Arabidopsis thaliana: one gene and its partners. The protein of the gene in region 3 interacts with the protein of the main gene of each other region in a pairwise test. Each region holds a gene or a part of one and is shown on either strand. Other genes may lie near its edges.

What was found.
Region 1: the proteins of WUS (region 3) and HAM4 interact in a two-hybrid assay, tested with the Arabidopsis thaliana proteins (one study listed by BioGRID).
Region 2: the proteins of WUS (region 3) and HAM3 interact in a two-hybrid assay, tested with the Arabidopsis thaliana proteins (one study listed by BioGRID).
Region 4: the proteins of WUS (region 3) and HAM2 interact in a two-hybrid assay, tested with the Arabidopsis thaliana proteins (one study listed by BioGRID).

What each region holds. Positions count from the first base shown.
Region 1 is NC_003075.7:17,301,134-17,309,403, reverse strand, and holds HAM4 (GRAS family transcription factor), read right to left. Parts: upstream 3,647-8,270; 5' UTR 3,345-3,646; coding exon 1,884-3,344; 3' UTR 1,756-1,883; downstream 1-1,755. Other genes in the region: HVA22K (HVA22-like protein K), read right to left, coding at 1-6, 88-183, 289-352, 514-565, 718-815, 1,229-1,287, 1,573-1,635.
Region 2 is NC_003075.7:55,329-63,610, forward strand, and holds HAM3 (GRAS family transcription factor), read right to left. Parts: upstream 4,168-8,282; 5' UTR 3,778-4,167; coding exon 2,101-3,777; 3' UTR 1,812-2,100; downstream 1-1,811. Other genes in the region: AT4G00160 (F-box/RNI-like/FBD-like domains-containing protein), read left to right, coding at 8,137-8,147. UniProt on the Arabidopsis thaliana protein: Probable transcription factor involved in plant development.
Region 3 is NC_003071.7:7,805,769-7,814,090, forward strand, and holds WUS (Homeodomain-like superfamily protein), read right to left. Parts: upstream 5,044-8,322; 5' UTR 4,904-5,043; coding exon 4,408-4,903; intron 3,806-4,407; coding exon 3,717-3,805; intron 3,626-3,716; coding exon 3,332-3,625; 3' UTR 3,103-3,331; downstream 1-3,102. Other genes in the region: AT2G17960 (uncharacterized protein), read right to left, coding at 6,612-6,686, 7,071-7,361. UniProt on the Arabidopsis thaliana protein: Transcription factor that plays a central role during early embryogenesis, oogenesis and flowering, probably by regulating expression of specific genes. Required to specify stem cell identity in meristems, such as shoot apical meristem (SAM).
Region 4 is NC_003074.8:22,408,426-22,417,200, forward strand, and holds HAM2 (GRAS family transcription factor), read right to left. Parts: upstream 4,239-8,775; 5' UTR 3,943-4,238; coding exon 2,071-3,942; 3' UTR 1,815-2,070; downstream 1-1,814. Other genes in the region: ATG8G (Ubiquitin-like superfamily protein), read left to right, coding at 7,693-7,729, 7,805-7,860, 8,090-8,142, 8,238-8,356, 8,446-8,546.

The DNA of each region.
Region 1 (8,270 bases), on a different chromosome or scaffold from region 3:
CTTCACCTGCAGTTTTTTGTTTTGTTTTAAAGCGTTAGTTAAAAGTGACTGAAGAATAAGGGAGTTCAAAAGAAAGCAATCGTGTACCATTTCCCCATATACACCATCCACAAGTTGGTCCACTCTAGCTTGGTGTCGTAAGAGGAAAGGACGGATCTGGTTGTTGTATATCTGTTTTGATCCCTGTTGTCGGCAAATAAGAATATAGAGAATATCAGAACTGATGAGTACCACGGGTTAAAGCTGCCTACTCGTTAGATGATGGTTTAAAGAGATTCCGATAGGTACCTCAACAGTTGGGAGTTGAAGCCAGACGAGGAACGCAAACTTCACATGATAGTACAGCGGGAACCTGCAAATAATCGAGGTTATTGAGTATCAATACTTTGCGAGTTTATCGAGATAATCAAGCCATTTCTCTCGATAAAGTCCATTAGAAGAAATATCTTATTTGTCTAACATAACAGCAAAACCATCAAGATATTGTATATAGTTTCAAGATGTCAATCATACCAGGAAATGATCTTGTCCGTGAACACTTCAACAAGGCTGAAAGAACCATAAGCTGCAAAGAAGGTGAAGATAGAGAAAAAACCCCATCAAATTCCATGTGAAAGAAGGCCAAGGGAGATTGAAAAAAAACTATTGAAGATAAACAGTCAAAGAATAAGGAAAGCAATTAGAAAGGTCATAACAATTGCAGTAACAATATCCCACCTGCCCAGTAAATAAGCATCTTTTGTTGTTCATTCTCATCTCCACTCTCAATTGCCTTGAAGGTAGAGTACACAGGCAAACCGATGCCAATGGAGCAGCTGCAGGAAACAAGTTTCAGACATACCACACAAACGTGTCCTTTATAACCGAATCCTTTAGTCAACTACAGCTATAACACCTTCTAATAGAGAAAATAACCAAAAACTCGGATAAAACAAAAAGAATCCAGATTCCCCAACAATAGATTGACCCTTGTCCAAAAGATACCCTAAAGTATCACAACAAGTAGAATAGAACCCTTGTCCACTCGGCTAAGTTAATAACTATGTCAACAAAAAAAAAAAAAAAAAAAAAAACTCCCTCCCTACCCCATTGCTTCACATGTAATGAGAATCACTCAATCAGATCACAATCTCACCAATCAAATCATTCCTCCAATTCATTCGTCTACCTGTACCATTGATTCTAGCAACTATATGGCTTTCTTCACCTTACAATAAAAAAAACTCACCATGCTGTACGAAGTACGATATTGGAACTAAGTGGAGAGAACAATACACGCAACCCAACCTGAAAATTCCATTGAGAAAAACAATTGTTTCTCTCAATCCAAAAGTTGAGAATATCCACATGATCAGGAATTGAAACACCTCTTTCTCTAATCGGCTTTTGTCAAAGAGTAATCCAAACAAAAAAACAATCCAGTACAGAAGAAATCTGAATTCCAACAAGGCAGAAGATGAAGGAATCCTAAATATACATATTTAATCATAAACTTTATCACGAATCCCCAAATCACGGATCGGAACAAAAGCCGTACAATCGGAAACATCAATCAAACTAAAGGAAGATTACCTCGCCGGTGAGTCCAGATCCAAGAAGCGCCATGGATGGAATCTGTGAAGCAAACCCGCTCATCGGCGATTCGTACGACGGTTTTACCAAATTGACGACGAACTCGCACACTCGCAAAAAAAAGGTCACTTGTGTTTTGAATAGAGGAGATTATGAATCATTAAAAGACTCTAGCTCATACAGAGACTCTTCGTAAGAAATATTTTTATTTCTTTATTTGAAAGATAAACAGCAAAAAGAAAAGAGATATTAAAGGCGGTAAATACAATTATTCTATTCTATATCATATTGTTAAACCAAACCCGGTTTATCTAAAACCGCCAAGCTGATGTGGCAACAAGTGCTCTTCCATGCCAGCACAGCACCAATTCTCCTTGTCGTTTCGCCACGTGGAATCCTCTAACTTGCGCTTTCTCCAATAAACACTCAGCTTGAAAGTCGGCGAACTGGCTTAGCTGTATCGGCCTCATCCCGGCGGCGCAAAACGCTTCCCGCCAAGTCATTTCGCCGGTGTGTCTCCTGTCAGCCGCCGTTTCTACCGCAGCGGAGATCTTCGGTCGTAGAACGAACGCTTCCACTATCTTCTTCACCAAATCTCCGGGAGGAGCTGCAGCGTCGAGCGACTCCAGCACCATCGTGTAGAACTCAAGAGCGCTAACAAACTCTCGCCGGAATGATCCAGATCCGGCGATCTCCGTCCATCCTTCACTATCCACGAATACAACGACCTTAGGTGATACTCTCCGTAAATTGTTAACAAAATCAGTGATTCCACTTAGACGACGAAATATCGCCGGGGAAATCAAAACGACGGTCCTCTCCCCCTCAACAAACCTAATCGCTTTGAAAGATAACATCTCAAAAGTCTTCATCAGCACAAACTCAATCTGGAAACGAATTTTCATCTCCGCCGCGAATTGAGTTAGGTTTTCTTTCACTAGTCGCGTCTCTACGGCGCACTCCTCCGCCACCACTGCCGTAACTCTTAAAAATCCACCGCTTACAGATTTCTCAGTGATTTCTCTCATAAGCGATGCGTATTGGCCACCGAATCCAATCTCAAAATCCACCACGTGAACAAACGGAGAAGACGACTGCGAGCTCAACGAATCGAGTATCGCTTGATTCGCCGTGAAATGAGAGAAGAGAGGGATCGGAGAAATCCCGGAATATTCCTTAATCGCTCGGATCCTCTGAACAATCTCGGACCAAGAAGATAACCGGATTGGATTCCGGTTTGATCCGGTTAAAAACGAACCGAGAGCTTCCTTAAAGTAAAACGCAGCTCTCTGTAACGGTCTACCCGCCGGAGATCTCAAGCGTTGATTAAGCCGTGATAAAACCACCTGAGCGAGTTGTAACTCGTCCGATTCAACACAATCCACGACTCGGATGAGATCTTCAATGAAATCAAATCCTCCATTGTCGACACTATCAAGAGAATTAAAACCGTACCCAGTTGTTTGGTTCTGACCAGGATAAACATCGGAAGACGATTCGAAATCCGACGGTTGAATCTGATCGGGAAAGCCAGGGAGATTTGAATCGACGGCGTAAAGAGGCAAAATAGTAGAATCTGTTGTGGTTGTGGTGAAACCGGTTTTAAGTGAGTTAGGAGCAGAATCGTCATCAAGCTCCAATTCTTTCATGATGGAATCCCAATCCATTGAACGCATGACATGTTCGTCCATTGATAAGTGATTACTATCAGTACTATTAGTGTTGTTGTTGTTGTTGGTCGTGTCTTGAGGAGATGATGCAGGGATTTTCATGTGTTGTGTGTTAAGAAGAAAGAAAGGTGGAGCCTTTAACGAAAAGAAAAAAAGTTTTTTTCTTTCTGTCTTTTTTCTTTGTGTGTGGGAGAAGAAGAAGGTGGCGGGGCTTTTGAAAGGTGAGAGTGGTAAGCTTTTTATCTTTGAGTGAGTGCGTGCAAATAAAGAGATTTCAACTTTGGTAACCGTGTCTGATCCGGGTTTGTTTGGTTTTACAGAATAATATTTATACACGAAACAATCTGATTGACAATGATTTGTATATGATTCCGTTTTTTATTAATAACATACTATTTCACATGAAATTCAACTGAAAGATTTTAAATCAGTTTTTATTTTGTATTAATTTCTCATAATATATCTCCAAAACTATATACTATGCACAACTAGCAACTTCTGTAGCTAATGAAAAGGAAACTTCTACAGCTCTTTAAAGGGATAAAATACAAATAAAGTTCCTCTGCTTTAAAAATAAAAATAAATCATTTGATTGAAAAGAGATCCAAGCTCCACTATGTTGATCATCAAGAATGTGAAAGTTGAAAATAAAAGAGAAAAAGGATGTTTTAAAAAGGTTAATGATTTCTCTCTTTTTTTTGTCTGAGTGGTTTTTTTTCAGTCTTTTTCATCCTAAAATTTTAAACAGTATTTTACAAAAACATTTAACTGAAAGTTTTTTTTTATTACATATGACAATTTAAGTGATCAAAAATAATCTTTCTCAAACATAGCAGCACGGCTATATGTAACTATGTTGTACCTGAGTTTGAGATCAGCGTTAAAATATTTCATATTTGTGGATATTGTTTTCGATCATTAAATCTCATACGTTTTTGACCCAAGTATGGAGATAAATAAAAAACTATGAATCTGCGTTGATTATTCCAATAGGCAATAGGTATATCAACGTTTGGAATTTTTTTTTAAAAGTAGTTTGTGTTGGACAAAAATATTCTTACTAAACAAACTCTACAACGTCGTTTTTATTCTCACTAAACCTAGTTGTTAGTACCACACAAAATACAATATTATGTATTTATTTAGTACCGTGCATATATCACATAATAATCTCAAACTAGTTACAAAAGCTAGAGAGGTTTATTCGATTGATAACCAATAAAAAAGGGGAAAATTGCATGAAACAATTTGAGTCGATGATGTTTAACGGACACTAATCCCCGCTGCTTGCGACAAAAAACAAAGGAAAGGAAAAAGGGAGTGACCACTGGGCTTTATGTGGAGCCCACATAACACGGTAAAAAGCAGGGGGAAAGTAAGCGGGTCCACAATGGGCTAACTTTTGAGGTAATAATGTCGGAGAAAATGACCGAGAAGCCCATGGGCCAGAGATTGACTGATCATTAAGTCAGCGCGTAAGAATCACGCCCACTTCTTTCTTTTGCTTAGCCCCCCACTCTTCTCTCTAACTCGCAAAGGAAAAAGAAAGAATATGTTCTCTCCTTCACTTATTGCTTTCATTTTCATGGAAATTTACCTTCCTTTTTTGTTTTCTTTCTTTTCTATTTGGTTTGGTGTACCAGAATGCAAAACCATTTCCTCAATCTTTTGAATATACTCTCTTTTTTTTTTCCTTGTGTAATTAGGAATGTTTGATCATATTAGGTTAATAACTCACCATTTTCGCAAAATATGGCCTAGTTTGCGAAATTTAAACATCATATAGTTCTCGTGAAGAAAAGCTTCTTCTCATTGAGACATTATTCAACCTTTAATATCGTGGAGAAAAGGTTCCTCTCATTAATACACCTTTTTCCTAACATAATTCAACTTTTTTTCTTACATAAGTCTTCATCTGTGTTATATAATTTAGATTTTATGCGGTATAGCGGCTCAATTAACACACTAAAATACTAAAAGTTCTTTTTGTGGCAACTTTTTTTAGTTGTTTCTCATTAAATTAATGATTAAGCCCACATTTCTGTTATGTTTTAAAAATTTAAGAGAAATAATCAAGTTTAATATTCCACCGTATGAACGCCTACATGCAATGGGATCCACTTGTATCCTAATCTCATGCTTAACAACTAGTTAGTTTATTTTCGAGGATCATACATAAAATACCATAATATTATAGTTTATATATGTGGAACATGCAAGAAAAATAATCAATGATTTATCGAACTGAAATCACTCGCCAAATTAGTTGCCTTTTTTTTGTTAGATTGAATTGCCAGTATTTTAAACAAATAATAAAATAATAATAATAATAATAAAATGCCAGTATTAGACCAATGTTTTCATTATGCTCAGAAATTATTTCGTCCACAGACCACCAAAATGTTACGTCTTGTTAGCTTGAAAATCATTACACTATCACTTTTGATTCTCGTTCATACAGCTAATTCCCTGAAAAAATGATGGCCCTATGTGTACAACTATTTTATTTAAATCCATCTGATATTGGGTAACGAACGTTTTAATTATATGCAATACAATTTATGAATGATAATTATTCTGCATATACACTAACGTCTCCAAATATGGCAATATCTTCCCTACACATGATTGGAGTTTGTCGAAAAAGAAAAGAATATTTCATAAATAATGTTGGTAATTAATACAAGTTCTATTTATTAACACACGTGATTGTATATTAAAAACAAATGAATGACGATCATATCTTATATTCCCACTCTGACAATATTCTTTTACTGATCGACCAATGGATCCTCTCGTTACCAAAATTGTCCCACTGCCAAAGGTTTCTTTCTTATTATTCGTTTCTGTGTTGGTAGTTTTATAATATGTATACCGTGATTTATACTAAGTATAATGTCTCATAAACTGTTTTTGATAAAGAAAATTTTAAGTTGTTGTGCTGACTGCTGAGAACCTGTGTAATAATATAATATCGCCAAAACATATTATTCAATTCTCATAAGTTGTTTTTAATTTGAAGGTTATGAATTTGTAAACTTTGTGTGTTTAGTATCCTGTGATTAAAATAAACCAAAATTAAAGACATGATTTGATTATCCAATCTTTTAGTTAACATGTCAAAATTCAACGTAAAATGGTGATATAGTGTTTTGTACAACTATCTGGTAGTAATATTTTTTCTTGATATAATAATTGTAATAAAATCTAAATTTTATAATAGAAAAAGAGACAGTTGTGTATTTTCTTGGGAGATAATTTCTCAAACCCCACTACACAAAAAGGTCATAATACTTAGGAAGTAAGGAAAGGAAGGAGAGGCCGATGATAGACTACACACAGACGCTTCTTCCTTCTAATCAAAAGAGAGAAGCTTCATCCTCACAAAAGCAATTTTTTTTAGTAGATTCCTATTTTATGTCATTCACAATAAATAAAATACTTAAATAGTAAAAATAAAAGATCGTTCTCCATTAAAATATCATTCCCACAAGAATGAAAAGTAGTAACGGAGAAATTGTTTTAACTTTTCATTGTTTATTTTTTTTTCTATAACTATCCGTATGCATACTACAAGAATTTAATCTAAATTTTGGATCGACTGATTGTAGCTATAAATTATTGAGTAAGTATTAAATTAGACCGTTGATATAAAAATATATAAGTATATATGTGTGTTATACTAAGTCGATCGATTGGTAAGTCTCGTAATGATTTAGTAAACATTATTCTATTTGGTGTAGATTTGTTTTTTTTTTTTTTTTTTTTTTGTCAAATGTAAATCATTTAATTTTAATTCAGTTACAATTTTCTAACTAAAATTTTGTTTATGTATTTTCGATACTGTGAATAAAGCTGGTGGTGTAAAAAATAATATTAGCGTAACATTAAATTTATAATTAAGTTAAACAAAAACATTAATATATAATGTACCGACAAAAATTGAAAGTGAAAATAAATGGAGGAGGATGTTCTATTTTGCAACTCATTGAGTAGTCACAACATGCGTTGGAAACTCTTCCCCGTCAAGAATATATTACTTTACACGTTTTTAAAATTATTAATTTACCCCCTTTTAATAATTGATTTTTAGTAAAATGATTGTTCGTGATAAAATATACTTTAAATTTTTGATGAATGGAATCATTCATTGTTTGATCGTTTACATTTAAAAAAAAAAAAATTATACGATCACATCTTTTTTTCTTATATATAGTTTTTAAGATCATATATATGATATATCATCACAACAAATTGATGTCTAGTACGTACCAACAAGTATGCTCTGTTACTTGTAAAGATGATAAAATGCTCTTAGAAACAAAACATTGTACTCTCAAAACAAAATATTTACCATCACTTGATACTGTCAAAACAATTCTTATATACTTAGTACTAGGTATTCGGCTAGCATCTCACTGATTCTAGAGGTCATCTATTTTCTCGAATAAAAAACAAATATAAACTCATCATAAAAAGGATAAATCTGAATTAATTCATTTGTACAAAGTATAGTCTTGGTCTAACAAAACGCAAATTCCCCTATATATGTCTTGCTTATGATGTTTAGGGACTTCACTAATCCATCTTAGCTATAAATAGAAACAATTTTTTATTATAAGTAAATAAGTATTTAGCATGATTGTAGAGCGTAACTTTTTCACTTACACGTAGAGCCAAACATACGAACTGCTTATGACCGTTAAGGTATGATATGATAAGTATTAGACTTGAGATCATATAAAAGTTATTTTGTCCACGAGCCAACAATTAACCAAACACACTCACGAGTCAGTACGTAACTTCACTTCCATGATGGAAGTGACATCGAATATATTTTTCGTCATCCATATAAAGTCAAACACACTTCCTAATTCCTAAATCAATTAGCACCATATAGTTAATGTCTTTAATTTCCACACGTTACCAACTTTGTTTGATTCTATTTTATATTTTGGTATTTCCATTTTTGGGATTTTACGTGTAAACTTCGGCGAGCCGATCATCACTCTTATAACCATGGCTTGT
Region 2 (8,282 bases), on a different chromosome or scaffold from region 3:
CGTGATGCGTTCCACCATCCGGTGCCTTTCGTTGTATCACAATATATGAGGTTATGTTAGTGCCATCGTTTATAAACCAATTGTTGGAAATTTGGAATTATATACATATACATTTAACGCACAATATCAACATTGCAATACTCGTAGTGATTGAGATTTTGGACGTAGAAGTTTTTAACAACTAATAATAAAATACTTGAAAAACAGTGGGATGATGGAAGACAGATGTGAGTTAAAGTCTGATTATAACAAAATCAAAATCTTCCTAACTCCTAGGAGAGTCTTCTTTGAGACAAAAGTACATATGCGGTGTCTAAAAGGAGTAAAAGAAAAATGATAACTCAATTAGTTGAAGGACAAATAACACCAAAAGCTGCGTATTTTATCATCATTTTACTTTTTGTAAGCAATGAATAGAAAAAAGCAATGAATAGCCTGTTGTTATTCATTTCTTAATGACATGTCACACATACAATATAGTGAAAGATGAAACCCAGCAAACAAAAAAAAAAGGAAGAGAAAGTTTGATAGCTTTCTAATATGTATTTCCCTGTCCATATATTATCAAGAGTATGCTTCGATGTGTGATCAGTCCCGTCTACCCCATGGCAACATAGGCATTTGCTATGGGTTAAAAGCTATTTTCAAAAATAAATTGTGAAGAAATACTTTACACTCACGTATGTATATTAAATGATGGAATACGTGAGTGTAAAGTAGAGTAGTTCTAATAGTATTTATCAGTGATTGATTACATCAATTTTAATTCTAATAGTATTTGCTAGACCTCGCCTGGACCGGTCAATGTTTCTACTTACTGCGCTCATCAAACGGTTACCATTTGAATCTAGACATGTGATATATGATGAGTGACTACGTCGGCGCGTCTTAGTGGAGCCGAGCCTGCGTGACCCAGGCCTTGCTTGTTGCGTGACTAGCTTATGTTCACGTAGGCATGTTACAAATCAATACACACATTAGTTGACAAAAACTGACCGTTGATTTGGTTGATCATCTCTCACAGGGAAACGACACATGTGTTTCTGCCGTACACGTGTAGATTGACCGATCACGACCGGTCTTCTGCTTGAGGACACGGCTTATGATCTGTCAAAACTAAACTATTCACATTCAATCAAATGTGTCTGTATCCAACCAACGTTTATTGCACAAGAGACAATAACTTGCGGCATATTGTCATTTTTCACTCACAAATTTTAGTCGTCTTTCTCCATTTAATCAACTCTTGATATGTTTCTAAAACGGAAATCTTTTGTAATGCTTAATTAGGACCTTAGATGTTTGAATATATATTTTAAATAATTATCCTAAATGATGTTTTAATATAAAGAGTAAACCAAAATATGTTGGTTTGTATTACTTAGATTAGCTTGTAATCTTTTTATTGAAATGAAATCTTCACATTAAAACCCCAAAAAAAACATGTTGATGTATTGTATACACTTGGTTTGTTTCTGAAATATTTCTATAGAGAAATGCAGTTAATGCGTAAAGCAAATGGGCGCATTATATATGTAATGCGTATGGACCATTTAAAGGAGAAAAAGCAAACCTTTGTTTCGTCGGAGAAAAAAAAAGGTTAGAAACGGCGCACACAAAAATGTATTGTGGTCCAAATAAATAAAATAATACAAGACCCATGTGACATCATGGAGACATATGTTTATAAATTAAAAATAGACCCCTCGCAAAGACACAAACCACAACAAACTCTAACCATTATATAATCATATAATCACAATAATGAGCAGTAGCTTTCTGCCTCGCATCAAAATCAACACCCCATTCATTTTTAATTAGAAAAATATAGTATTGAGCTAATCCAAGCATTATTCTATCACGTTATTTAGTCGATCAAAAATAATCCCCACAATTAATATATATTGAATGTGTTATACAATAAGTGTTTGATAATCAGACAATTAATTAACTTCTCACAAAAATTTATATATTTGTGTGAAACTTAAATTTAAAAATCCATCGCACTGAGCAAAATAAAATCAGAAACTAAAAATTTGTCATTTAAGATAAATTGAATTAAGGAAAATATTTTTTTAATAATTGAAACTCCGGTGGAAATCAGGAGGAGCGACATCTCCATGCTGAAACTCCGACGAGTTCTGTCCTTTGCCAACATAGGAGAAGTGAGTTATGTTTCTTCTCGACGTGAAAGCCTCTCACTGGCGTCCGTTGGACTAAACACTCGGCTTGAGACTCCGTGAAGTTACTGTGCGTCACCGGTGAGAAACCCATCTGTAGAAACATCGCTTGCCACGTCATCATCGGCCTTTCTATCGGACGGCTACGATCCAACACCAGCTTCTCTATCTCCGGCTGTATAAGAAACCTCTCGATCTTCTGCATTGCGTCGAGGTTGGCGTTGACGGCGTCGAGGGATTCGAAGAGAGCGGTGTGTGAGTGCAGCGAGTGGGCGAGCTGTTGAGAGAAGGGCAGATCCGTCCTCTCGCATCCTCTGTCGGAGCAGACGATGATCGTCGGAGATAGATGCTTCACGAAACGGAGGACCAAAGGGAGGTGCGAGAAGGACGCGGCGGAGATGTTAACGGCGACAGCTTCTTTCTCCGACGAGTTAGGCCACGAGATGGAGCCGAGGAGGTCTAAGCTCAAAACTTGGATGTCAAGGGAGATGTTGATCTCAGAGGCGAAGTGCTTGAGGTTGTCTTGAGTGAAGCCAAGTTCGAGCTGGTCGTGGTTCGCCGGAGAAGCGAAAACGGTGATCTTGAGGGAGAGAGGAGCGGCGTTGTCGCGGAGAACAAGCTCTTGCATGAGGGAAGCCCATTGGCCACCGTAGCCGATATCGAAGTCGATGATGTGGAGACGGTGGAAGCCATGGAAGGACTCTAAGAGGGCTTGGTTGGAGGTAAAGTTGGCGAACTGAAGAACGGGAGAGATCTCTGAGAAGGATTTGTAAGCAGCGATCTTGAAGATGAGGGAATAAGGGTTTAGGGTTTGGGAGACGTTGTGAAGGAGATTATTGAGAGCTTCTTTGAAGTAAAAAGCTGCTCTTTCTAATGGCTTCCCGACGGGAGAAGAGAGCTGTTGATTGAGCCGCGCCAATATCCCCTGAGCTAGACACGTGTCGCTCTCTATGACCTCTGCTGCCTTAACCAGCTGCTCTGTTATCCCCACGGGACCAGGGTTGAGCCGCTTTGCCGGCGGAGGTGTATGGTGGTGGTGGCCGTAGAAGATAGCCGCAGGATTCTGTGTGTAGTGGGTTTGACTTTGGTTGATCAGAAGACCGGAAACATGTGACGGCGGAACAGAGTGGTGGTCTAAACCGAAGCCGGTGTCGACGACTCCGAAACCGGGTGATGAGTAGTCAGAGTCGTGGAAGGTGGGAGATGTTTGGAGAATGCTGTTGAGTTCAAGAGAGGGATCTGTGGAATCTCCCATGATGAGTCCGAGAATGCTCTGTTCGTGGTCATGAGGAACTTGCTCCTCCCAATCACCCAACCCAATGGCTCCGCATTGCTCATCGGTGGTGGCGTCGCCGCCGCCTCCGACGGCGCTGTTTCCGCCGTGAGAGGAAGACACCGTGGAGGAAGAGGTTGGGCTTATGAGGGAGTCCAGAACAGAGGTAGGCTCCGCCGCGGGAACTTCTTCCTCTTCTTCTTCGCCGCCTCTTGCTTTGCGGTGGCTCAAAAGCGGAGACGACGGTGGTTGGGGGAAGGAAGACGAGAAAGAAGAGAAACAAGAAATCCCCTTCCCTTGAAACTCTTCAAAGGGTAAGGGCATTGCAGACGATAAAAAATAGTGTATTTGTCTTCTTGAAGCTCTTCTTCTTCTTCTTCTTCTTCGTTGTTGTGATGTGGTGTGGTGAGGTATATTGGATGCGTGCAAGATATTAAAGTGGCAAAGTGGGCTTCCTCCTTTCTTTTTCTCTCTTATTTCCGTTTCCTATCATTTTGCCTTTGTCATTAACTTAGCTGATTAAACAATTCATCAGCTTCTCTTACACAACATTTTGTTAATCTTTGCTTTCTAATCTTAACTATGTCTTCTATTACAACCCCACTCTTACATCACGCGCGTGGCTTGCAAACTCCTTTCAGTGACATGAACATGATGGTAAACAAAAATACTAAATGTTATGATATATTTTTAAATATTGTATTTGTCTTCTTGAATTACTAGAAACTATTAAAAAAAAAAAACATTTTCCCCATATTTTTGATGTTGTACTGTATATTTAGATGTCATAATACTTGCCCAAAAAAAAAAAAGGATGTCATAATATATTGGGAATGTTTTTGTTTTCTTATAATTTATTTTCATGATTAAAACTTTGTGGCTTGCAAACTATATTTGGGATATTGTTTTGTTTTGTTTTATCTCAAAGGTGCTGTCGTTATTTCCTTTTGTGTGATCTTTGTCCCCAATAGTTTGTTTTAGGGTTTGGACAAGCTTTTGGATCATCTTTATCAAATTAACCACTCAAATCACCCAATCCATTGTACGAGCTAAACCACATATTGCAGTGCTTATATTAATTTGTGTTTCCTTTTTTTTTTTTTTTTTGCTACGGACATAATCTAAATTTATAAATCTAAACAAAGTGGAAACAAAAACTATGTATATATTGGAGTTACATCAAAAATATCTGTTTTGTTTTTCTTGTTTTAACTTAACGAGATACGAATGATCGTCATTATCTGAAACATTCATGTACTACTTATAACAAAGAAGGAGTTATATATATATTTACGTGTATATAAAAACATACTTTCTTTGGTACATCTTTTCGTTTGAAGGAAAAAAGTGATTGAAGATCTGTGAATGATGTTTCTTCTGTGACAAGTTAAATGCACGAGAGATTGAGAAAGAACGAGTGGTAGTCCTTTATTGAGCAGACAATGGAAGTCACCAATCACCATATATATACATATATAAATATATCTACCAATGGAAAACCCTATAATAAATAAATGAATAAAGCAATCAGAAAAAACAACAAGAAAGAGAGGTGGGTAATTGATGAAGACAGATTAAAATCGGACCAATTTTGCAATGAATGGCGACAGTTTCATTATCATGTATTCATGATAATGAAAAAGCATTTACTTTTCTATGCAAACCAATTCATTAGTATAAACAATATCAAAGAAAAAAAAAAAAGTATAAACAATATCAGATTCTGAATCTATCTTTTATATGCGAATTATGACCGCACAAAAAAACACAGAGTTCAGTTTCTTGTATAGTAATTTTTAGTCCCATATTATAATACTTGTTAAGTACCATAAATATTTGATGATTATTGATAGTTAACTTACTTTATATAACAACAAAAAGTTAAAATGTTCATTTTTAAGATTTAATTAGTTTATATGTTCCCATGTGATTTGCTAACAACTACTTCTCACACTTTTCTTTCTTATACAAAATTATTATAAATCTTGAAATGATCGCGAAACTGTATTAATATTATTTCTTATTGACATACATAATACACCAACACATTTTCAAGTTTCATGATATATTAATATAATATTTGGTATATTGGAATACTAAATATATGTGTGTGTTAACTTCGTGAGGGTGAAGTAAGTTACGTGGTGAAAACATGTTCTTTTCTCTCGTCTCAAGGCACCCTTCATCACAAGCAACACACCCAACCCCACTCAATCGGATAGTTCGTATGATGAACAGAATCGTGCTTTGCCATAATTAGAGGAAGAAACAAGTCAGCTAAATATATTAATCTTGTCAAACAATAATTTATATTGAAGGATAACGTGTTAGAGTTTGTATGCATGTAACCATATATAAATGATTGCGTCGTTCATTTTGTATTAGATTTTAGGATGATGATTAGTTAGATTAGACAAAAATTGATCAATTATTATTAGGAGATCACATGGGACTGATAAGGATAAAGAAAAATAGAGAAGATTTCTTCATCTCATTAGAGCCAAAGTAATAATAATTATGATTAAAAAAAAAAAACCAAGATCGGCGGGAAGTAATTAACAATTACCACAATATAAAGTTGGTAAAGGAATTTCCTTATTTCTTTAATCATATACATTTCCTTAAACATAATCTAACTCTCATTTGATCATTGACAACACATTACTATGATTCGACAACAACAACAAAAAAAAAAAAAAAAATTACTATGATCGAATGACACTCCAAAATACAGAAGTCTCTTAGAGCATTTCTAACGGAGAAAGTCCCTCCATGGGTGATGCAACGCATCTTTGCTTTGTTCACGCCTTCGATGGGCCTCGTCGTGACCAAACCTCTTTATTGTTTCTCATTCATGATTTAGTAGTTTATGGATTTTATTAAAGAGATAGGCTTTACCTATTGGGCTTTTAACTTCTTTTAAGAATTAAGGTTTTGTTTATGATTCTTACCTTACGTTGTAGAATGAATTAGCTATTGATTATTGAATAAAGAGTTTTAAGAGAGCTTTGTATAAAGCCTAGAGAGGAGGACTCTCAACCTTAAAAGCTTGTGTTCAAACCTTGCAAGGATGACTTTTTAAACCTCGTCGATATCGCTACCGATCTCGACCCTATCCTATTGCCTCTTTGTCAAGTTTTGACGTTCTAAAAAAGATCCGTTCGTGAATCTGAATTTTCCTGAAAATCTTGCGTTTTTGTCTGTTATTTAGCTTCCGCTTTCTATCAGTTGGTATCAGAGCCACGTCGTTCCTAGTGGTTTGATTCCCTTGCAGCGATGTCTGTGAAAGACATGAGATGAGCGACCAATTTTAAGTTTGATATTCCCAAGCTCCATGGTGGAATCTCTAGTGATTCGTTACTAGATTGGCTTGTGAAGATTGAAGAAATTTTGGAGTTTCAAAACGTTTCGGATGATCTATTTGTTTCGCTTGTGATTAAGAAATTTTGAGGGCAAGCCGCATCATGGTGGCAACAAAAGCAGAAAACACGCAAGCGAGCTGGCAAGAATCCTATTAAATCATGGGATAAACTTAAGGAGAAGCTATGCAAAACTTTTTTACCTCCTCATTACACGAGTTCGGTGTCTAATCGTTTGAAGAATGTGAAACAAAGAGCCGGATTTGGGGATGATTTCACGAGGAATTGTCACGTTCATGTCAACAATTTCGTGGAGAAGCCTACTTATGATCGAGATTGTTACGTTCAAGACAACGACTTTGTCGATAAACCTGTCCATGTTATCTACGATGATGAGAATAATGATTTGTCTCCTATATGCATATGATTCTTCTTTAATTGTCTGTTATTGTTATACTCTTACTTAAACCAAGTGTTTTCTCTTTGATTCTTCTTGGCAACATTGTACTTAAAATTGTTTTCTTTAATCCACTGAACCATCAATAGCCAAAAAAAAAAAAAAAAAAGTCAAGAAAGCTGAAAAGTACAATGGTTCATTGGAGTAAAGAAAAGAATGAGAAAATAATTTCATAAAGCAGAGAATAAACTTAGCAAATAATAAACAAGACCGACGGATTCTCTATGTTTGTAGAATAATCTATAAGACTTACTAGTTTCTATGGAGATTAATTATATATCACCAGTGGATCCTCTGACTCACGACCATAGCAAGTCTTATAAATTCACAGTGAGTCTTGTTTACGTCGGGGTTGTAAAAATGTTTTTCCAAATAACGATTTACATCGGTTTTGGTTATCGGGGATGGTTTTACATGATATTGAAAATTTCTCTATATTTTATCTATCTCTAATCTCTATGATGAATTCATGAATGGTGATACAATGAGACTAAATGAGAATGAAAAAGTTTATAGTTGTATGTAAACACTGATCATCTTTGTAATAGGGTTATGCATAATATTGTGAGTAAAAGGCAACAGAGAATCTTCAAGTACATCGGGAACTAGGTCGATCATCGGATTAGGTCATTCATCGGATTAGGTCATTTAGGGGTTTACTTCTTAGAGATGGTTAACATTTTGGTATTAATAAGTAAACCGATCGGATTCGGTTCGAATTTAAACAAAACCGAGATATTGAATGAGAAGCCCTAGTCTTATCACATTCTTCTACTCGTTGAAATGCGAATAGTCATTAGGGATTCAGTTTTGTTGAAATGCGATTTTAGCACTGGAAAAACATAAGCCTGAAGGATTTCACCGACAATGGAACAAGGGTAAGTTTCTTTGTTTCGTTTGTGTTTTTTTGTCTCCGTTTAATGGGTCTGGACTCCGGCGCATTCTCTGTTTCGTTTGTGTTTGTGTTTCTTTGTCTCCTTTTCAAGTCTCTTGATAGACAGATCCGTGATTCC
Region 3 (8,322 bases):
ACATTAAATAGTTAAATATATAGAAAAATTAATATTTGTGGAACAAGAAAAATCCCCAAAATATCAGCTTTTTAGGGACGGATATAATATTATTTAGTCTCAAAAACATAACAGATTTGGTCCATAAGCAAATTAGTTTGTTCCATCCGCTAAACCACAAAAACCTAAATAAATCATGTTTATTTTAATTTTGTTGAAATATAAGAATATAAAAACGTAAATATTATAGAACAAGAAAAATTCTAGAATATTTATTTTATATGTGATCAAGAATAGTATTATTTAGGCTTTGGAAAAATATTGTGGATAAAGCGAAATAAACCGTTAGCGGACTAAACACCTTATTTTTGAGAAGACAATAAATAACAGTAGAGCAAGTATATTTATACGTAAGAGCGCTCCATATTTAATCCACTGTGAATATATTTTAATATTTTTAATCTTTTTTTTCCCCTCAAAGTTTCTTTTCATTAGTACGAAGGTCTGAAACATACATAAGCTTAATCAGTAGACTTTCTACTTACAAGTAGAAGACTATCACTGATACATAACAACTTAATATTTTTAATCTACGCATTACTGTAAATTAATAATGGTAAAATGGAAAATCTTAATTATAAATGGATTTGGCCGAAAACACATCAGTTCGTTTTATCTGCTAAACCACTTAAATTTTCATTTTTTCAAAATATAAATATAGACATGTAGTTTGTTGGTATTCGTGTTTGGACAAAACTTGGATAATAGAGAAACTTGGATAACAAGAGAAGGAACAACATATAACGAGGCAATCCAAAGAAAAACATATCTAGTTAATACTCCATGATTAAAGTTTTCAATGTAACAATTATGAGCGTAGTTTACGAGGAAGAAAGGGTTCAAACTACAAAAAATGTACTCTTTAAAACATGGATGCACAAATGTCCCTAACTGCCACATTCATGTTTTTTTAACATACAGTATTATATTATTTTTTAATTTTTTTTTGTTAAAATGATTCTTAATACACAATTCACAATAAAACAGATTGTATAGTATAATGTACAAGATTTATAAGCAAATATAACCCATATAATTTATTTATGAGTATGTAACATATTTTTAAAAAAATTCTATCAAAAGCTACGGTCATTGAACAAGATCTATGTGACATAGATCAACTAACAAAAAAAACATTTTTCTTCCTTGTGTCATTTTAGTTCACGTGGCTCGAGGATAGCTCTTTGTAAAAGATCTCTCTGTTTAAGGAAATACTGAATGACACGCACTCTCACAACGCGTGAGCCACCTTGACGTAATTCATAGCACTAAAGAAGAACTTATAACTAATCATATATGTACTTAATTGTATCCAAAGATTACAAAGGGACATTAGTGTTACTACAAACTAATTTTAGATATAAGTGTTAAAAATAAAAAATAAAAAAATTGTAGTGATCAATCAGCCATTGATGGTCATCATTAACTTTGTCGTTTTGAACGAGATGGAGAAAATAAAAACATTTCATATCGTCATATCGATGACCATCATTAAATAGTTCAGATATAATTAAACATACCAACTCGGCAAAATATTTTGTTAGTTCCATTTAGATCTGTTATTCGTTTAGATTCGATTCAAAAACTTTTGACATCTGTAGTTTTATGAAACAAATTGAATATTAAAAATTAATATCATATAACCCATCTAGTAAAAAATTGATTTCCGTTTTGCTCTCGTATATATATACATATGTATATAGCTAATTCCATTATAATTTACTTTATATATTTAACTTTTATAAATTTTGTTCATCAAATTAATTATTTATTTAACTACTAGTTTTAAAAGTTAACGAAATATTTTTAATAAAATTTTGCTATTTTGAATTTATTTTTTGAGTTTTTTTTATATGTTTTTCATTTTTTATAGTTATTTTTAGTTATATATTAAGCAAATACTTCTGATTTTAACGGATATATGATGAGTTACGGAACGAATACATATCAGATAACTAAGAGCATATCACAAATACCACCAAAATCGAGGATATTCATTCCCTAACTCATCCCTAGTATACATAACAAACATTTTGGAAAAAATAAGGGTAAACGAGATCGTTGAATGACTAGGGTTCAAGGTTTTTCACTATAATCTTAATTTTATTGATAAATGTTATTTCTTTTTTCTTAACAATTTAAAATTGTATTATTTCGAAAAGTATTTATGAAGTATTTAAACAACAACAAATTCTAACTTATCAATAACAAAATTTGATTTGAATTGTAATGGTTTGCTATTGTACCATTTTGGCCTACTTTGCTGTAGGTTTTAAATAGAAATATGAACTTAGAAGAAACCCCTATAAACTTATTACCCTCCCATATAGTTTAATCTTATCAATAAAGGGTTCGAGGTTGCATTTTTTGGGGATAACGACCAAAATCAACCCCAACTATTTTGATGCGGTCTTTTTTTAATTCAAATTTTGGTCATCTGTATTTATCAACCTAGACTTACATAATTTTTAAATAACAAACTGAACTGTGTAACATATACATGTTAATGTCGATTTGAATTGTTAAGTTAAAATTATCACTTATTTTGTATCTAAATCATTCCTTTTATTTAATTGGCTAACGATTAATATTAATTTATAATGAATATATGTTGAAATTGGCTAACGGTTACATAACTCAGATTTATTATTTGAAAATTGTGTGAGTTCGGATTGATAAATGCATGTAATCAAAATTTAGGTAGGAAAAAACCGCATAGAAATAATTGAGATTGATTTTGACCGTTCGTATTGATGTAATCAAAATTCCATGATTATCGATAGATCAAGCTGATTGCATAACATGAAGAAGAAGAAAACTTCCACTGAAAAGCAACTTGCTTGTTTTAGTTTTGAACTACCAAAAAACATTCAACTGTTCACAAGTTCTGTTGTAAAACAACTATTGTTGATTTCGGTTCAAGATCACGTTGTAATCGATAATTAAGATCATAACATTGTAATCAAATATAGTACATCTCTAGCATTTCTTTCATGCCTCCGGATCTGTGAGGAATTCCTTTTTAAAAATTTACTGAAATAGTCATTTCTTCATAGTAGTAATTAAAATTTTAACTTATTCATCATAGAGATAAAACGGTTGTCAATTACAATTAAAACCTAGACGATACTTAGCTAGTAATTACAAATTACACATAACGAGAGATAACTAGTTAACTACTAATATAACAACTGCATCATTAATCACTAGCGAAGCATAGTTGTGAACATACGAGTACGAAAGAGAGAGAGAGAGGAAAGAGCTTTAATCCCGAGCGACACCGGCGTAAGAGCTAGTTCAGACGTAGCTCAAGAGAAGCGCAAGGGCGAACTTCCGATTGGCCATACTTCCAGATGGCACCACTACCACCGTTGATGTGATCTTCACCGTGCATAGGGAAGAGAGGAAGCGTACGTCGATGTTCCAGATAAGCATCGCCACCACATTCTTCTTCTTCTTGATGACCTTCTAGACCAAACAGAGGCTTTGCTCTATCGAAGAAGTTGTAAGGTGCAGATGAGTAATGATGATCCATGTTTGCCCATCCTCCACCTACGTTGTTGTAATTCATAGAACAGTCTTGTTCCTTCACCCAAAAATTTCAGTTTCATTAAATTTCTATTCATATATGTAGTATAAATATTATTTGAATTAATGAATTATAGTTTGGTACGTACCATAGATCCATAGACATGGCTACTCATGTAGCCATTAGAAGCATTAACAACACCACATTCAGTACCTGAGCTTGCATGATTTAAATTCCCTTCAAACATATTAATATACGTATCATCAGTGATCATATATGTTGTGATTCCAGAATCCAGACCATACTATATACAGGGGAAAAGAATGAAGAAAGAGACATAAAATTAGTGATTTTTTTTCTACTAACCCAAATCCCTAATTGTGTTACAAGTCACAAATGAAAATAAAATGCACGTGAGTCTAGTTTCCATTACACAACAAAGAAACCGTTCTTTAGATGCAAATTTGGTTTGCCCCAATCAAGATCCATAACTTCAAATATACGTCATTACATGTACATAACATCTTCTTGGGTTTAATTATTTTTACTAATTCATGTAATAATAGATGGTGTGTAACATGTTCCTATAATATATATTTTAGATTTTTAAATCAAAACCATCTGAATAAATTCATAAATCAACAGCATTTTTTAAAATCTTTTTAACAATTAACATATACATATATCTATCAAAGTCATATATGTAGATCTTGTTAGTTTTTTTTTTTTTGTGTGTGCTAATTCATGTAATAGCTAGTGGTGTAAATGGTTCTCTTAGTAATTATAAAAAACCACCTGAATAAATTCATAAAAAAGCATGTATAAGAGAGATTAGTCACCGTTATTGAAGCTGGGATATGGCTTGTTATGATGATAGAGATGATGGTCTTGGTTAAGTTTAACGTTGACGGAATTAGCAGGTCTCTGCATGGGAACACCGTGATGATGGTGAAGTAGAGGATGATAATGATCGTTAGCCGCCATCATAACCGAGTTGGGTGATGAAGATGGTGTGGTCATGTTTGTTCCGTTGAATCTCTTCTTCTGACGCTCACGAGCCTTATGGTTCTGGAACCAGTAAAAGACGTTCTTGCCCTCAATCTTTCCGAACTGTCTCAGCCTTGCAGTGATCTTCTGGATCTGATCGGCTGTTGGTGACCGGATTGCATTGTTGTAGTAAAGTTCTTTGAGGATTTTGATTTGCTCCGTCGTCGGTGTCCACCTCGTGCTGGTCTGGCGACACGTGTAACCACCAGAGCCGGACTTGTTGTTGTTGTTGTTGCCGCTTTCTTGGTCGGCTTGATGATGATGATGCTGATGCTGTGGCGGCTCCATGTGTGTTTGATTCGACTTTTGTTCACAAAGTTAACGGTAAATAAGATCAAGACTTAGAGAGGAACAAGAGAAAGAGAAGTTTGAAGTTAGCAAGAAAACAACTTGCTGGTAGTAAAGAGATTTTAGGTTTTGTGTGAGAGAGAAGATTATATATATATAGAGAGATAGTAAGGTATTGAGTTATATATATAAATGGGGACCCAAAAAGAAGGTTTTACAATATTCTAGAAAATCAGTTATTCACTATATTATTCTTTTATGCATGTAGATATGATTTCATACATACAAAACCCTATTGAAAAATGTGCTTGGATATAAGAAATAAATTTTGCCAAAGAAAAGGATATAAGAAAGAAAAATAATCAATTGAATTAACATTCAAATAAAATGTTATGTTTAGGAAGGAAATTCTCTTGTCAAATATATTATTTGATTTTTTTTTATTCAGAGGAAAAATCGAAACTACTCTTGAGAGTTTTAGTGAGAATAATAATAATTTTTATGAAAAAATTTGTGGGGGATCGAATCAGAGGATATCTGGTGGAGAAGGATTGAAAGGGACAGAGAAGTTAGAAATAAACATGAAAATGGAAAGGGACAAAGGAGGGAATTAGAAAGGTGAGGGCATCATCGGTATTTACTTAGACGAAAAACAAACTCTCTTTTTTCAATTTCTCTGTCTCTTCACAATTATTACTTCACCAGCTTTAATTGTTATGTATCTGTCTACGTATGAAAGATATTTACCCATACACACAGAAAACAAAACAAAAATTCTAAAAGATCGTTATGAATTATTGTATCGTAGGAATGAAAGAAAACGATTATAATTTTTTTCTAGAATGAATAATAAAAAAAGTGAAAACCGTTTGATCATAAAAATACATTTTTCCTTCCTTATGGTCATGAGTCATGACACATAGGTGATATAGGATATTTTTCGTGGTGATATCGTCCGGAAATGTGTTGAAGAAATACTCTATATAATTTTACTTATGCTTTGCTTTAAAAGATATTAAAATTTATGTCAATTACAATGTGTGAAACGAGTGTGAAGACAGGTGTACTTATGAACATGTTGAGTATTCTTTAGTTAATTATATGCTCGAATTTATAGGAGCATGGATGGATCTTTTTGTATAAATGCGTGATTTATTCATTTTTTTTAAAAAGTTTGAAGGGCTTTGTTTTAGTGAATATGACTTTTGTAATTGAAAAGGAACAATACCCAACTTTTGTATAGTCTTATTGTTCTACGTAACAGCCACATATTGTATATAAAAGATATATAAAGATTTTTTTAGGAATCTACAAATTTCATAGAAGCTATTATAGTTTTTATGGGGAATGGCCCTGAAGATACGGCTGATAAAATATTTATTTTTTTTAAAATAAAAAACCAAAGATCCGATCACTGAAGTTGCTTGGCTATTTCATAGTATAGTTTTGTTTATATAGCCCCCATGATTTCTCGGATTCAACACAACGTGCAAAGAGTATCGGAAAATTAAAAATAGGTTTTACAAACTAACTATTGTAACTATTAATATTTGGAAAACAATCTAAGGATTGAAGTCTTAAAAAATTTTTTTTGTTAAAAGGTTAAGTCTTATAATCTTTTATCACCTAAATAAACTCAGTTGTATCCCAAATTTTTGTTGGTAAAGAAAGTATTTAGTTAGACTGGTGGATTACTCATTTTTTAACTTTAGTCGATTATATTGGATAAACTTTTGGATTCCATCCAATCGATATATCCGATTTGTAATGTCGTTTGGCATTTCTATCGAATCAACGGTCCAATATTTTTATCCAACTAGGAGATTACACCAAGTCACCAAACTATAAACTAACTAACAAATGATAAAATCATATCTCTAGTTGGATTGTGAATGTCTTTTGACAAGAAACAAAGAATGTCTTGTTACTCTACATGCGTATGCAGTGTATATATAGATGTACACTCCATGAGGATTATACTTCTTCACTATAATAAAGCATAAAGTTTGAAGTTAAAAAAAAAAAAAAAGATGTACACAAGCAACTACATGAACATATGGTCACATTTACATACTGGTTTTTTTTTTTGGTAAAACTTTACGTAGTGGTTGCTACTTAGAATACTCTCTATAGGCCCTTTGATTTATAAACTCCTATGAGTACGTACGGTAACGAGCATGCAGTGAGAAACAGGGGATCTTAATTTACGCATCACGATCTTTTTCATTGTCGTAAAGTACTGTTGAAGAGGCAGAGGGCTAAAAGACGCAGAGCTTTTGTAACTAATGTCTACGTGGCCCCTAAAGCCACTCTTCTTTATTGCAGAGATTTCATTTTCATTTAGGGCATCATTAGTTTCAGTTTGTACTTTTGCCCTAATTTCATGAAAACGTTTATAATTAGCTTTTATTATTTTGGTTTCCCGGAAATTAATGGGGGAAAATTGGGTTTGGAACATGGTCCCCTCTACGATCCGAGCCTTATATTCAGTCTGTCATATGTTATTCGCTATTTACACCTTACGTTACACTGTTTATATGTTTAGAGCATTTATTGAATTTTTAATTAGTTCATCAACGTACAACATTAGTGTTTGAGCTTTCAATATTCGTCAATCGTCATGACTTGATTGTAAGAAATTTTCCAGATATTATGCCAATTTATATTTAATTTATAGACGAAGGTAGTTTGTATGTTATTTTCAACCTAAGATCTTGTAAATATAAATCGACTAGATTTTAACCCGCGATATAACGCGGGACGATTTATTTTTTAAAGGTAATATATATTAAAACTTGCTAATTTTATTTTTATAAAATATTTATATTTTACAGTTTATAATTGTTATTAAGTAACACTATACCACGAATACATTAGACAATTGTTAAAAAACTGAAGTTTTTAACTCTTATCAAAACAACATATTAATAAAATTTTATAAATATTCTAAATATTGATTAAAATACATCTACCATATAACCCAATTCCAAAATAAAACCCGTTCTGTAATTTCTTTACCCGTCCCTTGATTTTTTTTAAAGTAGTAATTTTTAAAATTTAAGAATTATTTATTATATATATAAGTTTTGAAAATTTTATCATTCTCTAATACATTTATATTTTATACTTTAATTTTATATATAGTAACATTATACATACCACATAACATTTTTAGTTTTATATACTCTTTTCTAAATTAGGATGATTTGATATGTTTAATATTAGTGGTCTTAAAAAAAAAAAGATTAAAGATTTAACCCGTATTGAAACGGTGGATTAATTATATTTTACTTTTTTATTAATGTTGATTCAAAAACCCGTCCCTCCAGATCCGTCTTGCCAAAAAGCCATTTATTTTATTAATATTAATTTTATTTATGATATGACTCTAAATTATAATCTAAACATTTTAGCTAATA
Region 4 (8,775 bases), on a different chromosome or scaffold from region 3:
TGGTTCGTTAGGCGAATTCTCGGACCGTTGGTCTGTCTTGCCTGACCGGTAATGGAACGGCGGCGTTTGGTAATTGATTTAGAGATTCATTCTTGATTTACTTTCCAAAATAATTTCCTCCTGTTTTCCAGATAATGGATTAAAGGAAAAAGGCCTAAAATCATGTGGGGATGTTAATGAAAGCGTTGTTCCCAAGCAGACTTTTTAGAGTGCAATTATAAAAAAAATCTGAAATGAAAAAAGGAAACTATGTAAATGAATAATCAAATATCAATGATACTAATAAAGAGGCGAAAATTAAGAAATGATTGGGAAGAGGAAAGACATGGGTGGATTTTGTTATCCAATACAATAAACAAATGTTATACTTTCACAATTTCACTGCAGAATCTTACTAAAGTGGTTGATTAATAAGTAATAAAGTGGTCGTATTATGATAATATCAAATCTAAGCAGCAATTCTGCGAGGACCATGTGATTGATTACACGGACAAAACTCGTATTACGCAATCTCTTTACTATACTAAAAAGGTAAAAAGTCTTTAAACACAAGTTATCTCATCGTTTACAACATTAACCCCAAAACACAAGTTAATACATAGTTTAGTAATATGAAGTTTGTTTACCATTAGCTTAAATTTTTAGTAGACCTAATTAACACATGGTAAATTGTATGTCTCTAACAAACATTTCAAGGAAAATGATAAAATATACTCCATAATAAAGGTAAAGGAAACATATTTCAATATGCAGAAAAATAAAAAAGGAAAAAGTAAGAATAACATAAGGAAATTATATATATATTATCTGATTGGTTAACATTACACTCAAACATATTAAAACATGATATTATCTAAATTAAAAAGCTAAAAAGAAAATTATTCCCTGAAATATCATTTTTTTAATAATAATTTTTAGAAAACTATGTTTCCATGTACTGTGGGATATAGAGAACACAAAACAATTGTTTGAGGTACACTCACCTCCACATTTTTATATGGGGACACTGTGAGTAAAAATGACAGTTTTTGCTTCGTAAATATGTGTAGGACTCGTTACAAGGCAAATACTTGCTAATTAGTATTTGTGACCTGTTTTGACCCGTACAAGTAATTGAAATTTAGGTTTGATATTTTATTTGCCTGCTCTGTGTGTTAAGGTGTATGAAATTGTTAGTCGGGATCGTTGTACAAATATGATTTATAAATGATGTTTATTTACTGTTGTGGTTTTGAACTCTATTTTGATGAGCTTTCTCCACTGTTTAAGATTATGTTGATTCACTTTCACAAACGCATACAATAATCATTTACATCTTTTTGTTTTGTTTTTAAAGTTAGGTATGAGAGTAAACACGACATCGCCGGATGATTTGCCAGCACAAGCCAATATCATCACATCCAATTTCCAAACTCCTTGCAACATCATGGTCATCACGGGGGACATCGATTTCAAAAGACCGATCCGGTTATTAAGAGCTTGTGGAATTACTATCTTCATGGAAAAACTTCCAAAATGCAAGACTAAACTTATAAACGCTGCTACTGCCAAAGACCCTCCTGGTTACCCTCTTGGTTACACGTTCGAATTCCAAGACATTTTGAGGATCTGATTGAGTTTTTTTGCATTGGTTTAGAGCTTTCTCCACAAATCTCTTATTTATCAGTGTTCGTTTGTTAGATTAAGGTTAAGGATTACTACTATGCTTAGTATTTGAATAAAGAACTACGAATTTAGTATAGTCGACCTTCCAAGAGAAAAATGAAATTTGTGTAAGGCAGCTTAAGTTTTAGTTTTTTTTTTTTTTTTTTGAGAAACCTCTTAATCTTTAGTACCTATAACATATTACATGTCAAATCTTCTGTCTCTTAAAAAATGAAGTATTAAAGGATCCATATCTCAGTATGCAGAAATATAAAAAGGAAAAAAAAGAAAGACTAACATAAGGAGATTATATATATATCATTTGATTGGTTAACATCACAATCAAACATATTAAAACGTGATCTAACCCAAATTGAAAAGCTACAAAAAGAAAATTAAACCGTGAAAATATCCTCCTTTTTCGTCTTAACATTTCCAAGCTGAGACAGTAACAAGTTCTTTCCTCTGCCAACACAAGACAAGTGAAGGCGACGAAGACTGTCTCTTCTCCAAGTGAAACCCTCTCATTGGATTCCTCTGCAACAAATACTCCGCTTGTGTCTCCGCCGTCTGACTCAGCGTCACAGGAGTAAACCCACATTGCCCAAATAAGCTTCTCCACGGCGGTGATCTCTCCATCCAACGGTAACGATTCGTCAACAGTTTCTGTATCGACGGTTGCACACAAAACCTCTCAATACTCGTAGCAGCTTCCGCATTATTCAGATTCCCAGAGTCGAGAGACTCGAGCAGAGATGTGTAGTACTGAAGCGCGTTAATCACACCGTTAGGGAACGGCGCGTCGTTGTTACGGTCGCAGCTTCTGTCTGAGCAAACGACGACGTTTGGTGAGATTTGCTTGAGGAAACGAAGTATCAATGGGAGGTAACCGGAGACCATGGAGCTGATTGGGAGATTCACAGCGATTGCTTCTTTCTCCGATGATCGGAATAAAGACAGTGGCCAATAAGTTGGATTCAAGAGAATCTCCATGTTTAAGAGCTCGATTTCGAAGGAGACACCTGTTTCGCCGGCGAAGCTTCTGAGATTTTCTTCAGTGAATCGGAGCTCGAATTCGTCGGAGACAGTTGAAGGAGAAGCGAAAGCTGTAATCTTTAGCGACGGAGCTGATGAAGATCTGTTTCTTTTTCCGGCGAGCTCTTGAATCAGAGACGCCCATTGACCTCCATAACCGATATCGAAATCGACAATGTGGATCCGATCAAACCCTTCGAATGACTCGAGAATCGTTTGGTTTGCTGTGAAGTTGACGAATTGAAGAAACGGTGACGTTTCTGAGAAAGCTCTGTAAGCTGCGATCCGAAAGATTAGGTTTTGAGGAGGTGAGAGAGACGGTGGTGATAATGATGAGTCTTGAAGGAGAGAGTGAAGAGCTTCTGTTATATACGAAGCTGCTCTGTGGAACGGAGGTTTAGGATTGTTGTTAGTGTCGTCGTTGTTGTTGTTAAGGTTGTGATTGAGCCGCGCCAATATCCCTTGCGCGAGAACGGGATTGTTATCTCCGCCGTTTGTGGTGAGCTCCGCCGCCGCAGAGAATAGCTGGTCGATGATTACCGCTGACTGGTCTTGGTCGTTTTGGTCTTCTCCGGCTATCTTTGGCGGTGTGAGAAACGGGTCGTGAGATTCGTGACCCGGATCCGAGAACGGGAAAACCCACTGGAGGTGTTGAGATCCGGGTTGACCCGAATTGAGCCGTTTCGCAGGAGGAGACGACGGAGGATCCGAGAAGAAACCCGGATTTGGGTTTATTGAAATCTGAAACTTTTCTTCTTCCGGTGCGTTTTGAAAAGGGAAGCCATATCCAAAGAGTGGATTAGGATTATCAATAACCGGGTCGGATCCAGAACCGATGTCGAAACCCACAAACTCCGAACCCGGATCCACTACATCGCCAGCCATGATTAATCTAAAAATACTCTGTTCTTGTCCCGGCGAGCCACCGGAGAGAACACCATCGAGATCCTCGAAACCCATTTGGTCGCATTTCCCATCGGCGCCGGAAAAAGTAGCAGCAGCAGCGCCGCCGCCGCTGGGACCACCGTGAGAAGAAGACAGCGTGGTGGTTGAAGAAGAGACGAAAGGGCTTGGACTTCTAACAGAGTCTAAAACAGACGTCGGCTCCGAGAAACCACCATTGTTGACAACAAAGCAGAGATCTTCTTCTACTCGTCCATGGAGCTTCTCTGGATTAGCCCAGATTTTGTATCCCGGAGAAGAAGAAGAATCTAAGAAACCCAGAACCCCCTTCCCTTGAAATTGCTCAAAGGGCAGGGGCATGACCAATCTTACAGAGTCAGAAAGAGAATTTAAGAGTGAGAACAAAGAAACCCAGAAAAACCCTAGATCTCAGAACTTAAAGAGGAAGACGAAGATGAAAGCTTGAAACTGAAATTGGCGCCCACATTATCTCACACTCGGTATTAATAACAATCTTTCTTCTCGTTGCTTATGTATATTGACTCTGGATGATTCCAACAACATTCCAAAGTGATGATCTTCATAAAAAATGCTCTCTTTTTTTTTTTTTTAAGTAAAGGATTTGGTTTTTGCTGTGTGTGTGGTGCCTTGTGTCTGTAGATTTACTTATCTACATCTGTACTCATTTTATATCCCCTCGTTTCTAACCCTACTCGCACTTACGGCGCGTCACTCTTACTCTCCAAGAGATCATTGATTATATAAGTTTAAGCCATGAAAATCGAAATCAAAGTGTCATTAATCGAATAAATTTAGCCTTAATCATAAATTGACTAAATTACTATGATGACAACATAATAAATAAGGAAAACACTGGATTGAGGAAAAAAAAAACAAGGAAACCAATAAATTTTATGCATATCGACAAAATTACTATTCTACATTTTTCGTAAATTTTGTTCGATTTATAAAATAAACTTGCATCTTGTAAAATAATTTGTTATTTAGTGAAATAGCAATTGGGTGATTTAATATATATGTGCAGTAACATGTTTTATATTAAATAGTATGATAGTAAAAATATACTTCATTATATATGTATAAAAACTAAGTCAAGGGTCAAATGAAAATGAACCAAAAGATTTTTGTTCTTTTTTCTTCAAACCAATAGATTTGTTTACTTAAAGGATGTGTCAAATGTTTGACAAAAAAAAAAGGATGTGTCAAATTTATTTTTGAAATTACAGGTAAAAAACATTTTGAGAGCGAAATCGTAAAAATACTTAAAATAGTCAAAATTATTTACTTATTTATTAAGAATATGGGATCATATAGTGTATAATTCATTAGATCAAACTAAATAAGTAATAGGAGTATGAAGAAAAGAAAGAAAATAAATTGAATTGTCGAAACCCAAAAACCTAAAAGAGTCAGTTATTAGTTGATTGTCTTACAGTAAGTAATTCAATAGTCCAGAACTGTTGAGGCGCGTTAGATAACGATCAATCTGAAAGACAGTACTATTAAAAAAATCAAAAACATATACCGAGGTTTCAGAGCAAAAAGCGAATTTGATACAGATGGCTTTATTGTTAATCATTGTTTTCCATAATTACCCTTGCTTTCTATTAACACACTCTGTTTTTTTTTTTTATCTAACGGTTGAAATTGCATGAACTCTGGAGAAGATCTCATGGCTCTAGTCTAGATTTTTTATAAACTAACTAATAAATGACATATTGACTATAAAATCTTGCATTTGCTAATCAAGTTTAATTTTGAACGACAAGTAGACACGGTCAAAACTAAAATTATGACAAATCTTTAGCCTATGTTAGTTGATGTTTACACGTGTTTGCGATAATCAAATCGTTTTATTCCACCATTCTTTTCTAAAATCATCTATATCATTTCTTCTTCTTTTTTTCACTTCTTTGACAAACTTGAAATACTTAAGTGGCCGTTTATTGGTGGCGGTAATAGAATAGAGGATACCAAAAGGAGATTAAAAAGAAAAGAGGTGGAGCTGGATTGCGAAGACAAGTTGGAACTTTTGGTAGTTTGTGTGTGAATGGAAGGGAGACATGGCTTATGTGATTGCCCTAAACATATTTCTATTTTTTAAGCCAAAATAATATAAAAACAAAAATCTTTGTAATTGGACATTGTAATAATGGGAGACATGTTTTTTTTCCTCCAAGACAAACAAGAAACCTCCATGTGAATTTCCACCACCTTGTAATATGTCTAACAACATGTATTCTATTAAACTAGTATTTCTTTCTGCTTTGTTGTTATATTTTAGGATTAAAAAATGACCAATTTGCGTAATTTAATCAACTCATTCTATACATTCTATAGGTTGATGACTGGCTAGTGGAGGGACACATCGACCGTGTGTTACCTTGCATACATACTCGTGATTCGGTTTCACGGAAATTCATGTAATTTGGTTACAGTGATATAAAACAAGTAAAAAAATTAACTTCGATGTAGAAATATATTAACCCTGTAACCAAATTATCTCAGTTTATGTCAAATGTCATATTTGCAATTCACTTCCACTATGTTTTTAGATTTGCTAATTTCCCAAAATAAACTTAAAGTCCTCAAAATAGACGGTATATAGTCTCCTTTGCTAACCTCGACTCACGGGCAAAGCTTTCTGTTTTCTCTTTATTTAAAGTTTTCAATTTTTATGTTCAGGAATGCTAGTGGGGTTAACTTATGTGAATCATGTCATATCATAATATCTTAATCAAATCACAAACACTAAACAAGGACAATGTAACTTTTTCTTATTCATAACAAAGCATGTCACATTTTGGTTGGTTTATATATTATTAATTAGATCAACTATATATTTAGGAGACACATTACAACACAAACGATAAAAATTTGTCTCGCTTAGCGGATAGATACAGTGACGGCGGAAACAAAAGAAAAAGTAAAGATAGTGATAGATTGTATGAACTTATAATTTGTCAATACAACAACCAACACAACCATGTAGTATTATCTTTAATTGTTTGGTGAAACTATATAAATTATTAGTGTTTGAACCATTGTTAACCTACAAAAAACAATTAGACGAAAAAGTCCTACCGCCGCATGGCACTACTGGTTTTCAATGACTTAATTACTGGGAGAGTTCCTCAAAAGTATATGATAACCATATAGGTTACGTTACGTAAGCTACGAGCCTGGAACTAGTGTGGATATTGTGCTAGAATCTTAATGACTATCATAAATCAGTTTTCAATTCTGTTGACTATTAAAAGTTCAATAAAAAAAAGCTAGTTTTGATCCATCGTTGATTTGAAGTCAAGGATTATGATATACAATCTCTTAAAACTATATTTTAAGTATACGATCTTACAAATTTGAATGATCAACATTCAACAATGTAGATTTTTTGTCCTTAAACTTTAGTTATTGACCTTTTAATACAGAAAAAACTTCTGGTTTAGATATGTCCTGCTGGTTTGATCTCAGCTGAACCACCAAAAAAAAAAAAAACGTTGGGCTGGGTTTCTTATCTTCTATGAAAACAAATATACGGAAGACTTATAATGGGCTTCATAGAGTAATGAGTTATTATTAACTAGTTATGGGCCTTAGTGCATAAATAACCACTACAATTGTATTTGGTAACAACATCACTTAAACATTTCCTTAAATCATGCTAATTTACCTCGATTTTTGGTTTGCATTGATTAAATTAAATTATCAGCTGACGTGTCATTCACTAATTCGATAATCTTTCGGTAAACAAAAAAGGAAAAGGTTACACGAATTGTATATATACACATATAACTGTGACGATCGCAGTCGAAGATTAATTGAATCACACAAAGTCGAATCCAAAGTTTTTGATCTTAACCAAGTCGCATAATCCAGAGAGGTAAGTTTTCTCCGATTTGATTTCGTTTATGCATATAATTTATGTTTGATTTCTACAAGAATATACAGAGATAAGTGTATTACGACTTGGGTAGTAGAAAAATTAGGGTTTTGTGTTGGGATTTGGTAAATTATCGTTTTTCTTTTCTTCTTATTTGGGTTGGTGATTCTGGAAATTTGTTATATATATTCAGGAATCAAAAGAAGATGAGTAACGTCAGCTTCAGGCAGGATCATGATTTCGGTATATAAATCTTCTTCTTCTTTTTTCCAGTAATTTAAGTTAGTATGATTGGTTGATGATTGATTTATATTGCAGAGAAGAGGAAAGCTGAGGCTTTAAGGATCAGAGAGAAGTATTCTGACAGAGTCCCGGTATTCTTACTCTCTTCTTATGTCACTGCCATCGATTTTGTTCTGTTTCCTAGTTTTCCTGATATTGCTCACATAGGAATATACCCTATTTGAGAAGCTCTTGTGAGGCCTGATTGATTGAAATCTTGCAAAAATAACACTTTTTGATAGATAGATGTGGTTCTTGTTGAGAGTTCAATGCATAGTTTCAGAATAAGATGGTTATATTAATGTCTCTCTTTTGTAATAGGTGATTGTGGAGAAGTCAGAGAAAAGTGATATCCCAAACATTGACAAGAAGAAGTATGATCCTCTTTTTCTTTATAATATCAAATCTGATTCTTAACATTGGAGTCTCTCTTGCTTAATTTTCATGTTTTGGATTTTACATTTTACAGATACCTTGTCCCAGCTGATCTAACGGTAGGCCAGTTTGTGTATGTGATTCGTAAGAGAATCCAACTTAGTGCAGAGAAAGCTATCTTCATCTTTGTTGATAATGTTCTTCCTCCCACCGGTACTGTCTCCTCCTCTCAATCTCTACTTAAACAACTCTTTAGTCCTTACATAAACCTGTTGGTTTTTATATTGGAAACTCAATTGCAGGAGCGATGATGTCAACCATTTACGATGAGAATAAGGAAGAAGACGGCTTCTTGTATGTTACCTACAGTGGGGAAAACACTTTTGGATCGTCAATGACTTAATTTGGTGTTCTTGCTTTTAATTGAATGTAAATATTCCATTTTCTTTTCTTGTCCGTGAACTTGCTTAGATGCGGATATGATTATTATGGCTTATGTAGGCACAACCAATCGGTTTGCAAACAAAGTGTTGGTTTTTTTATCCTCTGTTTTTTTCTTTGGTCTATATCTATCTTTCTCTTTCTGTGCCTTGCTCGAGCATCACACACATCATATGTTGCACCTTCACAGA